2 linked regions of the Drosophila melanogaster genome follow. The protein of the gene in region 1 interacts with the protein of each later gene in a pairwise test. Each region holds a gene or a part of one and is shown in the gene's direction. Other genes may lie near its edges. The genes, in order: Pgant6 and CG32354.

The links.
Region 2: the proteins of Pgant6 (region 1) and CG32354 interact in a two-hybrid assay, tested with the Drosophila melanogaster proteins (one large-scale study listed by BioGRID).

What each region holds. Positions count from the first base shown.
Region 1 is NT_037436.4:2,780,370-2,786,744, forward strand, and holds Pgant6 (polypeptide N-Acetylgalactosaminyltransferase 6), read left to right. Parts: upstream 1-1,885; 5' UTR 1,886-2,186; intron 2,187-2,368; 5' UTR 2,369-2,531; coding exon 2,532-3,103; intron 3,104-3,366; coding exon 3,367-4,132; intron 4,133-4,626; coding exon 4,627-5,289; 3' UTR 5,290-5,641; downstream 5,642-6,375. Other genes in the region: Atg2 (Autophagy-related 2), read left to right, coding at 1-44; mRpS35 (mitochondrial ribosomal protein S35), read left to right, coding at 644-761, 825-1,687. UniProt on the Drosophila melanogaster protein: Glycopeptide transferase involved in O-linked oligosaccharide biosynthesis, which catalyzes the transfer of an N-acetyl-D-galactosamine residue to an already glycosylated peptide.
Region 2 is NT_037436.4:8,416,044-8,424,032, reverse strand, and holds the start of CG32354 (uncharacterized protein), read left to right. Parts: upstream 1-1,827; 5' UTR 1,828-2,966; coding exon 2,967-3,192; intron 3,193-6,173; coding exon 6,174-7,194; intron 7,195-7,250; coding exon 7,251-7,448; intron 7,449-7,509; coding exon 7,510-7,989.

The sequences.
Region 1 (6,375 bases):
CCAAACTGGAGGCGCGCGACAAGTGGAAGCAGGAGATCCACTAGGCAACTGCTTCACAGATCGACTAGGTTAACGGTAGCTATAGTTCACGGGGCTTACAGCATAACGCAATGTTTTCTATTGTTTTACTAATAATAAATAATGTACATAAAAGGAGCACTTGCACGAGACGGCGAGGTGACGAGGGATTTGGGATCCCGAACGGTGATTCCGACATGGGTGTGATTGAACTTATCCTTTTTAGCCATATTACAGTACATGAGAGTTATATTTTTTATTATTTTACCTGAATAAATATATATATATATAAAAGAAAAAGATGACGTATTTCTTCATGGTGCTGCTAAAAGTTTAAGAACGGATACTATTCTAGCAAAATTTAACCGAACTACCAGAATTTATTAAACCCTCAGCTAAAAATGAAGTACAAATAAAAACAACTAGCAGTTTACAAAATGATTTAAAAAGACGTTACTTTTATTTGTATGCTTCTCTGTGAATGGCAAGTTTCTGTAAACAGCTGATTGCTTGCTATTCGGCGCGAATGAATGTTCGTTGGCGCATGGTTTACGTAAAAGCCGCATAAATCGCTGGAAATATTAGTTAAAATTAGGTATCTAAGCTTAAAATTAAACATAAAACCATGTCCAGTGCGCTGACTCGCCTGTTGGAGCGCCTGCCACTGAAAAAACAGACGGCGCAAAGCGGTATTCGTGTTTTTTCCAACCAGGAGCAGCGGCAAGAAATTGAGGATGATGAAGGTAAACAATTAAGTTTCCCTGGCTTACACGTTTTATAATGGATATATCTTCCTGATCGGCCAGAATTCCGAGTGCTCAGCCTGCGGACGGTGAAGCAGCAGATGCAGAAGCGCCAGCAGGTCCGTCGGGATCCCATCACACCGCCGCGCACTGGCCGCATGGCGGTGGATCAGGACTGGACGGCCGTTTGGCCAGGACCACGTTCGTTCCACCCGGCCAGTGTGCCTCTGCCACTGCGGCAGGGATTCACGGAACGCGGAGCAGCAGCTCCGTCGAAGTTCGCCAATGCAGAGCTGATGAAGATACCCAACTTTCTGCACTTGACACCGCCGGCCATCCGTCAGCAATGCGAAGCCATCAAGAAGTTCTGCACGCCATGGCCAAAGGGTCTGGAGACAGAGGCCAAGTGGCAGCGCCACTTCCCCCTGGAGGTCACCACCACAGACTACTGCCAGAGTTTGCCCACGATCAGGAATCCGGAGGCCAGGCGCGTCACCATTACCCTGAAGCTCTCTGACCTGAAGTTCGATGCGCACGCCAGGGATAAGTTCCTGCGCCTGGTGGGCGATCGCTACAACAAGGACACGGACCTCGTTACCTTCGTCACGGATCGCTGTCCGCAGAAGAAGCAGAACTACGACTACGCCCTGTATCTGCTCACCGCTTGCTATCACGAATCCTTTGTCACCGAGCCGTGGGAGGCCACCAAATCGGAGGCCGACATGGAGGTCTATCTGTTCGAGCGTAACCAGTCGAAGGTCTCCGCCGAGGGAATCCTCAACTGGAACGCCAAGAAGGGTGCTCCAAAAGTGGTTCCCAGCAAGTCATTCGCTGAATGCGTGGAGAAACTGATAAACGAAGGCGAAAACGAGTACAACTTGGGCAAATACAAGGAGGAGGTCAAGAAGATGTTGAACATTGCCTAGGAAACTGGATAGTTGAGTGAACCAATAAAGCGAGAAGTTGTTAAAAAATAATCATAACAAGTATTTGAATGTTACAATATTTATCTTGTTAATAATTTTGAATTGAAACTGGGCAACCATGTAATCCCCCTTTACGACGCCCCTCCTTCGTTGTGAATGTCCGAACAGCTGTTTACAATGAAGGCGTGCCCGTGTGAATGGCATTAGAACAGCGCCAAGAACAGAACCAAAAAAACCGAATTTCCGCGGACGTGGAAGCAAACTTTTGTTTTGCTATGCTAATTAGTATTTTAGTAGTTAATAAGTTTATTCAACCCCGTTTGGATGGAGCTTTGAGTAGAATACAGTCGTAGAGAGGTGAGAACAAACTCCTGATAAGAATTCACCTGCTGATGACGTTTCACCTGATTAAAATTATAAAATCCGGAATTATAAACAAAGTTAGTCGCTGAAGTGTTTCTAAGTTATAGTACATTCATTGACATATGTCTGCGATAAGGTAACTATCCAGCGGATGTTCCTTCAGCGCAGTTAAATATCATTTCTATTATCTTAACTTTCGTATTGGTGAAAATGACTCGCCGCTTATCTTGTATTTTTTGTATGTGCGACCCAAAAAGATACATATGTGCTTACGTTTCTGAATTTTTCTACTTTTCTACTATTCTCTTTCACCCACAGACCACGTTGCAGTGCCGCCAGATAAAGAGACAAGCCAGCAAACATCCGCAGCACCTGAGCTAACAAACCAATATCACCATTACCGCGAGATATACTTCACCGACATTAATGGTTGACGTAGAGACCCGTAGAGCGCACACGTAGCCACGGATATCCGGCAAAGATGCGGCGACCCAATCTCAAGTGGATAGTGAAGGCCTCGCTGCTCTTGTTGATCTCACTGACTCTCTTCGTACTGATAACCAGCTGGATCTCATCTACTCCGTACACCAACAAGCCAGTCCATCATGGCGTGGAGCCCGTGCCCGAAAAGGCTGGCCTTTCCGGCGATGTCAAGGTGAAGGTGCCAGCTATAAAGCAACCAGAACCTCAGAAACCACAGGAACCCGACTTCGAAGAGGATCCTGAGCTGCAGAAGATCGATGAGCCCGAACCGGTGGAGGAAGAAGTCGATAATCCGCATCCGGCGGACGACGAACCGCAACAGCAGCCCCAGGAGGAGCTCCAAATGGCTGCGCCGGCGGACGCTTCGGTGAAGAAGGACTGGCACGACTATACTTTCATGGAAAAGGATGCCAAGCGCGTGGGCCTCGGGGAGGGCGGAAAGGCATCGACGCTCGACGATGAGTCCCAGCGAGACTTGGAGAAGCGAATGTCCCTGGAAAATGGATTTAATGCCCTGCTCTCGGATTCCATATCGGTTAACCGCTCGGTGCCCGACATCCGCCACCCTCTGTGAGTTGTTCATCAAAAAGCACTTAGTTTCGCTAAATATAGGAGTCGAGATAAGGCAGTGGCTCCCAAAATGGGCACTTCTCTAATGTGACGCTCCAAATCAGTTTTATTTTCAAAGTCAGATAAGACCATTTTGCTTGCTTGAAATGCTTATTATTTTATAGTAGGAAGATATTGAATTAATTATATCAGTGCAGTGATATCTGTTAACGAATAATTTATTGCCAATTCCAATTTATTTTAATCTATTAATTCAATTGCAGATGTCGCAAGAAGGAGTACGTAGCGAAGTTGCCCACAGTCAGTGTGATCATCATCTTTTACAACGAATACCTGAGCGTGCTGATGCGCTCAGTTCACAGTCTGATTAATCGCTCGCCGCCGGAGCTGATGAAGGAGATAATCCTGGTGGACGATCACAGTGACCGCGAATATTTGGGAAAGGAGCTGGAGACCTATATAGCGGAACACTTTAAGTGGGTGCGCGTGGTGAGGCTGCCAAGGCGCACGGGACTGATTGGTGCCCGAGCGGCGGGCGCAAGGAATGCCACTGCAGAGGTGCTCATCTTCCTCGATTCCCACGTGGAGGCCAACTACAATTGGTTGCCACCGTTGCTGGAGCCGATTGCCCTGAACAAACGGACGGCGGTGTGTCCCTTTATCGATGTGATTGACCACACCAACTTCCACTACCGGGCGCAGGATGAGGGAGCCCGAGGAGCGTTCGACTGGGAGTTCTTTTACAAGCGCCTGCCATTGCTGCCAGAGGATCTAAAGCATCCGGCCGATCCGTTCAAGAGTCCCATCATGGCTGGCGGTCTATTTGCCATTTCTAGGGAGTTCTTCTGGGAACTGGGCGGCTACGACGAGGGCCTGGACATCTGGGGCGGAGAACAGTATGAGCTAAGCTTCAAGATCTGGATGTGTGGTGGTGAAATGTACGATGCGCCCTGCTCCCGCATTGGGCATATCTATCGCGGACCTCGCAACCATCAGCCGAGTCCCAGGAAGGGCGATTACCTGCACAAGGTGAGTTTAGCAGTAGAGAATAAAGAGTAATCTAAATGGCGAATGGGAAATTGAGCCATAAACGGGTTTCATCCAACATTAACAGACACTCCCATTTAGTTTCTTAATTTTTTTAAGACCTCATAAAATTCTTTTGTCTCTGAACTTCGCTAGTTCATTTTACAAGTTTTTATTTTTATGTTTTTGTTTTTGGCGGATAAACTTGGCGTGTTGGTTCTAATTAGAAATTTATATGTTGCCTCTTCGTGGTATATCTTTATATCTTTGTTTTGTTTACTCTGGCATGTAGCTATCCGAACTTGACACATTGTTGTGAAAAATATTTGCGCATATTTAAAAAGGGGTTTATGGCTTTCGAAGTTAACTTGATTGCAGCCATGGCAACAAATTTTATTTAAGATTTCTTCGCCAACGATTTCGCAGTAATTATTATTCTTATCAAGGCAATCAATCAGTTAATTAGACCCATCGACTAACTCTTGATTACTTTGCAGAACTACAAGCGAGTGGCGGAGGTGTGGATGGACGAGTACAAGAACTACCTGTACAGCCACGGAGACGGTCTGTACGAGAGCGTGGATCCTGGCGATTTGACGGAGCAAAAGGCCATCCGCACCAAGCTGAACTGCAAGTCCTTCAAATGGTTCATGGAGGAGGTGGCCTTCGATCTGATGAAGACCTATCCGCCGGTGGATCCGCCGTCCTATGCCATGGGCGCTCTGCAGAATGTGGGCAATCAGAATCTGTGCCTGGACACGTTGGGCAGAAAGAAGCACAACAAGATGGGCATGTACGCGTGTGCCGACAATATAAAGACTCCGCAGCGAACGCAGTTCTGGGAGCTGAGCTGGAAGCGAGACCTTCGCCTACGGCGAAAGAAGGAGTGCCTGGACGTCCAGATCTGGGATGCCAATGCGCCCGTTTGGCTGTGGGACTGCCACAGCCAGGGTGGCAACCAGTATTGGTACTACGACTACCGCCACAAGCAGCTCAAGCACGGCACGGAGGGCAGAAGGTGCCTGGAGCTGCTGCCCTTCTCCCAGGAGGTGGTGGCCAACAAGTGCGACACCGACAATCGGTTCCAGCAGTGGAACTTCGGCTCGTTCAACAAAACAGCGCTGGACAACTACTCGCAGGACCTCGTCCTCAGCCTGTAACCGCTGCCCTGCAATAGTATCACTTGCCATGTACTTAGAACACTTCGATGTAAATAACTAGGCTAGATAGGTTGTACGGCCGCTTGGCCACATAACAATTTACCCCGACTCAAGCGCACATATGCAACAGAGGATGCAACAGAGAGTATCTTTACCTTAAATATAGTGCATCTCAAACCAATTCCAAATGCCACAAAAATAATTTGTAGCGTTACGTATGCTTTGGAGTTTTGTTTGGTTTCAAACAGGATTCCGAATATGCTAGTATTAGCCTCTAAATTGTCATAAGTTTGACAACCGTATGACTTTGTACTCCACAAGAAGTGTTTTCCAATAAAGAATATTTTTAAATAATTATCAGAAGTGCTGGTATGGGTATCCCCCCGTTGTTGCAAATGAAAAATGCAGTCTGGCGATCTTAACTTTGTTTTCGTTTTATTTAATATTAATATCTGTTTGCTTTCCATGCGCGTACTTTAAATAAATATAATTACGTTTTTCATCCATCTCATCCATCCGCTTCGTGCTTCACAATCTTTATATACGTTCTCGGGTTGTATATCGTTTTACAATATGTATGTATCTCGCTATATCGTATCTCTATCTGATTCTGCACCCGAATGTCGCTAAGTCAGGTGCGATATCTTCGAGCTCTTTTCTGATTTCTGAGTTCTAATTTCTGATTTCTTATTTCCGCTTATTACTTATGCTGCTCAGTGTTGAGTGTTAATTGGTTTTGTTTCTGCTTTATCATATGCCAATATACGTATAGTTTATGTAAAAGGTGTACGCCGAGCGCCCCGCGAAACTCAAAAGTCGTTTTGGGGTGTGTAACTTAATGATGGCAAAGGATTTGCTTTTATTTGAAAATGATAAAAAAAGCATTTACAAACTATAATAGTTGTTGTTGGCTTGCGTAATCAGTTAATCAATTATCAATTATCATAAGTTATATTAATATATTATATAAACATTTAAATATTTATCAAAACATGTTTTTTCTTGTTGCTCAAAAGTCTTCTTCGCTGCCTTACATTTAAATTACATTACGTACAGTTTACATACGATCTATATGTCCGTTCGTCC
Region 2 (7,989 bases), 5.6 Mb from region 1:
AAAGGTTTTTACGTCTCCGCGCCAGCCTGGCTTTCTTTTAATTAAATTTTGCTCTTCTGTTTTCAGTTTCTTATTTATTTTTTTTTTTTTTGGCGGTCTTTTCCTGCGGTTTGTCCCCCTCATTTCTATGGGATCTGCAGCTCGTCGTGTTTGGGGTATTAGTTCTGGGCACTGGCGCTTAAAGCCGAGTCACGCCTGTCATATGCAGTTTGGCTTTTTCCGTCGAGCTGAGATCGGCTCGGCATTATGTTTTGTTTTGTTTTGTTTGGTTTTGTTTTGGACCTGGCTCTCTCTGATCTGCCCAAAAAGCTAACTGTAAACATTCACTTACTGACCTCTTTTCCCATGCGACGGCCACTTCCACCTCCACCTCCACTCAATTTTCTTTAATGCACGCGACTCCGCCGCCAATGATCTGCTTCTTCACCTTCCTCCACCCACCGCCAGCGCACAGTGGTTCCAAAACATGTGGAATTTAAGCACCCACAACGCATTTCCCAAAAATGATGATTTATTGCACAAAGTTTTAAGGGAAAGTACTCGTAAGAAAAAAAAGCAACATTAAAATTCTTAAAAAGATTGAATATTAACTTAAAGCTCATATGTCCCGAACCATGAAAGATTAAGGATTATGTTTTGCTTAAGAACATTTATTTACTTACTATTTATAGTTTAAAATATAACTTCATTTTTTATGTTACTAGCAAGTTATTTATTTGGGTAGCATTACTTTGTATTCCTTTTAACATAAGCTAGAATTACTTAACTAAAATATTATTATATCAAATATATAATACCTAAGACAATTAGATAAGGTCTAAGCTCTAATAGCTAAACTATGCCAAAATCAAATATTTTTGTGTGAATGCATTAGTAAACATGCACCTTAAATTGGCATCAGGACACTGTGCAAGGTGATAGTAGGCTATGTGTGTGTGACCCTTATTCGCAACGGCCGCTGAGGCGTAAAATTTATGGCTTTAAAGTCTACAAGTCTATAAACACAGCTTCCAGGCTGCACTTTCTACTGCAACTGCAACTGCCAATGCCAATGCCACTGCAACTGAATCGTGGACTCGGATCGTGAATATTGTATATTGGATGTGGGATGGTATGGCTTGGGTTTGGGCATCGGAGATGTTGGGGGAGCACGGACGTGGATGTGGATGCATCTGATCCGATCGAATCGTATCGTATCGAATCGAATCGAGTGTGTGAGTTATAATTTCAAATGCGGCGCGCCTTTTTGGCTGCATTTTGCTGCCACTTTTGGCAAATTAAATTTGTACGCAAAACCGATTAGGCCAGGCAGACATGACCAAGTTGTTATTTTAAATACCAACAACTCCATTTAATCAATATGCCCCGGCACCCAACAATGCACTCGAAAAACTTGTGGTAGTAAACCGTTAAAGTTTAAAAAGAAATATAGGTCTATTCAAAAAGATCAAGACTAGACTACATTTTTAACTTAAATTTACTTGCTCTCTTTACTGCTCTCAATATATGTTACATTTTGAAAGTTTGAAACTGCACAGACATGCATATCTTTGAATTGTATCCTTTTACAATCCACCATTGCTGTTATTGTACATTATAACTTTTTTATTATTATTCATATATATTTTTATTTTTTCATTGTTTTTCAACTTTAAAAACTTAAAGAAAGCGGTGCTTTTTGTCCTAACTGGAAATACTCTTGATTTAGTATTCAAAAGATGAGTGAATTGTTTCGAGTGTAGCTGCAACAACAACAGCGCTGGATGCTCTGCTCTGCCGTCGCCGACTGCGCTGCCTTTCACCCATATAAATTTCTTTTCATTGCAAATTTTTTGCCATTCGTCGGCGCATTGTCAAACCTTCCAGTCGCATTTGGAGCCCAAGCTTTCCGAGATTTCAGAGCGACTCTAGAGCGCACTAAACAAAGGCCTAAGAAAAAAGTTAAAAAGGCGAAAAAAGAAACAGAGGCAAAGACGACAATACGAATTGTACAAATCGGATGCGAGCGCGAGTGTGTTAGTGCCCATTCATTCATTCATTCATTCGAGAACAATAAAAAAGAAGAAATGAAATACGAAATGCAATCGCCGCAGTTGCAGTCGCAGTCGGCGTCGCAGTAGGCGTCAGCGGAGGCATCGGCCGAGGCAGAACAGTAGCAGCAGCATCGAAATCCGAAAGACAGATCATTTTTCATATGCGAATCGAAACTCGAAGAGCGCGCATCAAAGTCAAATTCAAACGACAAAAGAGTAACGGACAAAAGCGAATTGTTTTGTGCGCATAATAGAAACGAAAAAAAAAAGAAAAACGTTATAAAAAGCAAATAAAAGGAAAATAAAGCCTTACCAGAACCAGTAATTGAAATCAAATTAAAGGCGGGCCGTGCAAAAATCCACAAAACATCAAGAAAAAGCCATAAAGCCAAGGCGATAAAAAAGAAATTATGCTCCATTGTGCGATTGTGTGAAAAGGTCAAGTGCCCGGCAGGCAAAGGGAAAAGCGAAAGAGACAGAAGACAGCGTAAGACACGGGAGCTTGATGTTGATAGGCAAACGAATGAACTCGTAAAAGGGCGCTAAAGAGAGAGAGAGAGAAGGCAACACAACGACATCGGTTAACAAGAAGAGCAGGAAGAAGAAGAAGAAGAGCAGGCCAGGCCCAAATGACCGCAAGATTACCGTTAATTCGAACAGCTTAAGCGCCATTACGAGCAGTTATATAGTCCATATACTATATAGCACCACTATATCTCTATCTCCCTGGTAGATCGACCGAGGAAGAGAAAAAAAAACTTTCATCCACCGTGAGCCGCAGCCGCATAAAAGTTTGCTACTATTTCAATTTCAATTGTTAACGAGCGAAAGCGCCGCACGCCTCAGTCTCACATCACGCACGCATCCGATCCGAGCGGCAACAACAAATCATCAAGCGTCTAATAGGAAAAGTGCAGCAGACAGCCAGCGAAAATGCACCACAAACAGCATCTGCATCTGCATCTGCAGCCCCCCGCCCCAAACGCCACCCAAACACAGGCCCACGGACTTGGCCAGACTCCAAGCCAGATCGCCAGATGCAGCCATAACCACAGCCCCAGTCTGGGCCTCAGCTTTGGCGGCACCAAGAGCCAGCGACAGCTGTTTGGCGCACTCTTGGCCATGTTCACGTTGGCGGCATTTGCGTCAACCACCAGTGGTAAGTCGTACACTGCGAGAAATCCCAAAATTGGTGCTACACGTTGAGTAGAAAGTCACAGGAAGTAGTCTTAGATCATTCGAATCTCTTTCCTGGCATTCTCACTATTCAAATTGTTTAATTGCCTCAAGAAATGAATCAGCTAAAGAAGTATACGTTGATTCAGATTCAGCAAAGTTCCTCCTAACTAAATTAAAATCAGATTAAGATAAAACTAGGTTCCTTAAGCAGAGCATTAAGTCCAATATAATCATAAAAGAGAAAACTGACTATGGAACTCTTAAGCCATTGCTAAAGTAAAGAATGCTCTATTTAAATCCAGATTAGTTAACATTACATTTAAAAGGGCCTAATACAAGTTTCAAAGGGTATTAGTTTTCCTCTTGCTAAATGTACTTTCTCCTAACTATCACATCGTTATTGAGTTGCAGTTAAAACTGCGGACAGAGTTCTAGGGAAACCCGAGTTCTTCAGCGGAAAACGGCAACTGATCTTGAGCTAAATGAAAGTTGCAGACAGACTGGACAAGTCCCAGTGAGTGCCGTCTCAATTACCGCCTAATTTCTCCGGGTGTTGAAACGGAGAAGGTGAATCGGGGTCCGGATCTAAGACCTACAGCTGTGCGGTGGTAGAAAGGCCGTCGCAGCAGCTATTCAACTATCCATTTCTAAGGTACTACTCCGCACAAAGTGAATGTAAACTGGCACACATACACGAGCGCGAAGCTTCCAATGCCCCAACACCTCTCCCCCCACCGCCCCCTAGACCACGAACTCCCCAGTTTGAGGCACTCACTCCTCGACGCACAACATGCTCGTAAATATTTTCGTGCACAATTTGTCCAACATTCGTATAAATTCATTAAAAGCACGAAGGGGCCAAACAGAAGCCGGGGGCCTGAAAACGTAGGGGGGGGGGGGGGCTGGTGGAAGAGGGGCGAATCGCTAGCTCATGGGGGGGGGGGAAAATCAAGCTGACCGCACAGTGGCAGCGAGCTGGAAAGGGTTGGGGGTCAATTGGGGGGGTTACATCGTTTAAAGTTGACCCGAAGCGAAATGATTTATTTGACTTGTAAGCGCGATCGTTTGGCTAATTGATAACCGCACTTCATCGGAGATTGATGGGTGAAAGATCAATTAGTTTTGGATGCTGTGATATATGCTCGCATGCATATACACATATATATGTACATATGTACATATATGTTTTAATGGCCCCAATCAGTGGCGCCGTGATTCATTCATCTATGGGCTTGGTCATGTCGCTGCTCGCCACTGTGCCACACCAAACCGGAGCAAACCGAGTGCACATGGTGTGCTCCATGTGCATATATAGATATGTATGTACATATGTACATATATATATGTACATACCCAGTATATATCATGCAAAAGTCCCTGCCCAGCAGTGCAGTGCGTTGGTTGCTGGATTTTTCCACTTTTGAAAATTATACGGTGGCTGCTTTTATTATTTCTCTCGCCTTTTTTTTTTGCAATTGATGGCATCCGATAGGCAGGAGCCTGCCAGCAATTCGCTGGAGGCCAGGAAAATGCACCTGCACTGGGAGAAATCAGCAGAACATATGAACAAAAGGAAATCAGTAAATCAGAGGTGTATTTAAAATGCAAAATAGTATGGTGTATGGTGTTGTATAAGTTTGTACCATTAGTTTGCATGAGTGATTTGATTCTGAGTTTATCCCAGGACTAGTACCACACTTTTCTGCCAGTGCAGGATTGGTGAGAGTGGGTGGGGCGGTTGAGGTCGCATTGCTGCAATGCTGAATGAGATTGGCTGTGGTCTCGGCTTTTGCCTCTGACCATTCCAGCGGATCGTTTACATGTGCATTAATTCCTAACGCCGCTTAATTTTCTCCGCGCTTAATGGCTCCTCTGGATGCCGATGCCTCCGATTCAGATTCGGACTCGCATCCAGCCAGAGAAGCATCCGAGTCCATTAAGCTGAGAATGCGTCTGCTCGACTGACTGACTGGCTGGCTGGCTGGATGTTGAAATTTCCATCTTTATGGCCGGCAGCAGCAAATTGGAATAATGAACGTGGGTTCAATTATCGCAGCCAAACCATCGTGTGGCAGCCTCAAAGAGCGCTAATAGATTTTCTACTGCTGTTGGGTATGTCTATTTACGTTCGTATATCTTTAACTAAGTTGAGTGCTTCCTCCGGAGGCGGCTCTCACAGCTTTCTTTGCAAACAAAAAAAAAAAAAAAAATAAGAAAAATGGACAAATCAACCCAAACTAAACCAGCAGTTCCACATCCGACCAAAGACAACAGAAATGTTCGGCGCCGGAGGCAATTAGTGTGGAAATTTCACTTGCAGTTTTTAGCACAGATTAAGCTTACGATTTCTGGAGGGGATTAGCATGAACAATTATAGATGGAGGTCGCTGATAGTCCGTATGAACGAAGCGAGTGTATTAGCTGTGCTCAAACCACAGCCAAAACATAAATGCCATTGTGTCGTTTTACTTGGAATCGAGATTTGAAGACGGGTAACATTTGCCGTTGCCGTTAGTAAAAAGGGAAAGAATTATTCAAGTTAATGGCTGGTTACTTGAGTCGGTCATGCGATCACTCCAGAATCAGAGACTGGTCTCGGATGCGGGGGAGTGTCGGCGGGTGGCGGCATGGACACAGTGGGTCACAACTGCGCAAAATGCCCTATGATCGTGCGGCTAATCTGACATTTGTATGCCCACAGTTGACTCTTCCGCATGCCACCGCTAAAGAGCTGTGGAAAATGCGAAGGGAAAGTTTCATTTGGCGGTCTCGAAACAGAGTTACCCTGGGAAAATTCGATGGACAACCGGTCATTACGTGCGGGGAAGTAGTAATTATTACTAAGCTTTGTTTAATAAGTTCATATAACAGAGGAGGAGGAACTACTGTCTTGCTTTAAATGTTTAGAATTAAGTTTCTAGATAGAAACCAATTAAATTCTAAAATCATTTCCATCCACAGGCGCTGTGACAGACTCACCCATCAAGATTATCCGGCTGCCGGCGCAGGCGCCAGTTATCCGCTATCGCAGTGCAGATGCGGCGCCCAACTCATTGCTGATCAACTATCGTCAGGATGCGCGACCGGAGCTGTCGTCCACATTGATGCAGGCACCCGGAGCGGCGGCAGCTGCCTTGGAGTCGCTGCTGCGCGAGGAGACGGAGCAACAGCAGCTGTCACAGATGGGCAGACGGAATAGGGCTAGTAACACCGGCACCGGCAACTGTCCTCGATCCTGTCCACCGAGCATCACCGTGGGAGCTGAGCCCGTGTGCGGCAGCGATGGTCTGATCTATGCGAATATCTGCGAGCTGCGCAAGAAGACTTGCTCCCGCAGTGGAGTGTCGCTGATCAAGGACGTGCGGGATGGCTGCGAGAGGTCGAAGGGTTCGGACTGCAAGCACCGCTGCAGCACGGAGAAGGATCCAGTGTGTGGTACAGACGGAAGGACCTATCTGAATCGCTGCATGCTGAGGGTGCAATCGTGTCGCGTGGGATTGGCTGCAGTGAAGCTATCGCATGTGGGTCCCTGCAGCAACACGAGTGCCGTGCGTGAGTCCTGTCCGGTTGACTGCAACAGTGCGCCGAAGGATGGACCAGTTTGCTCATCGGATGGCAATGTATACAACTCCACGTGCGAGATGAAGCTGAAGACGTGTGGACAGGGTGTGGTGAAAACCAGCCGGAAGCACTGTCAGTCCACACGAATGTGCAGGGAATCCTGCTGGCGTGTGGCGAGGCCCACTTGCGGATCAGATGGCAGACTGTATGCCAGTCCGTGCAAGATGCGCTCTTCCAATTGCGGCAAGCACGTCTTTGAGGTTCCCTTATCCTACTGCATGTCGCAGGAGAGGCACGGAGCCTCCGATGCCTGTCCCACGGAGTGTCCCAAATCGGATACGGATTCCTCGTCGCAGTACGTGTGCGGCAGTGATGGCAACATATACTCTTCGCTGTGTGAACTCAAAATGCTCAATTGCGGGTGAGTTTGGATGAGATAAAAATGGAATATAACCAGACTAAAATTTTATCTTTCAGTCCACAGCGCAAGTCCATTCAAAAAGTGAGCATGGACAAGTGCAAGAATCGACTGACCCGCTGCAAACAGCTGCCTCCTTGCAAGGACTTCAATAGCTTGTTCGGTTCCATCTTCAGCTCGAAGCGAAATGACAAGCTCTGCGGCACGGACGCCAAGACTTATAACAATGAGTGCGAACTGGCCCACGCCACCTGCCTGTGAGTATCCATGATAGGATCATCCATAGGACATGGATCTAGCTCTTCAACTTCTTTTCAGACGCGGCGTGAATCTGGCCCACATTGGTCCCTGCACGGATCTCAATTCGCCCACCAAGGATTGCGGGGATGCCTGTACTCGGGCGGATCTGGAACAGCAGCCAGTGTGCGGCTCGGATGGCAACACCTTCGCCTCCATGTGCGAGTTCAAGCGGCGCACTTGCGATCTGCGTGTGGTGCCCGTTTCGCTAAAGAATTGCGCTTTAACCGCCGACTGCGAATCGGATTGTGATGCCCAGCCGCCAAGTTTCGTCTGCGGATCGGACAACAACTTGTACAAGTCCGAGTGCCACATGCGCAAGGAGAATTGTGGCAAGCATGTTTTCGTGGTGCCACTGAAGCGCTGCCTTGCCGCCTTTCAGCTTAAAGGATGTGCCCGCATCTGTCCCAGGGAATTCGAGCCTGTTTGCGGCAGCGACAATAAAACGTATCTGAACGACTGCTTCCTGGAGATCGAAAACTGCAGGGCGAACCAGACGGT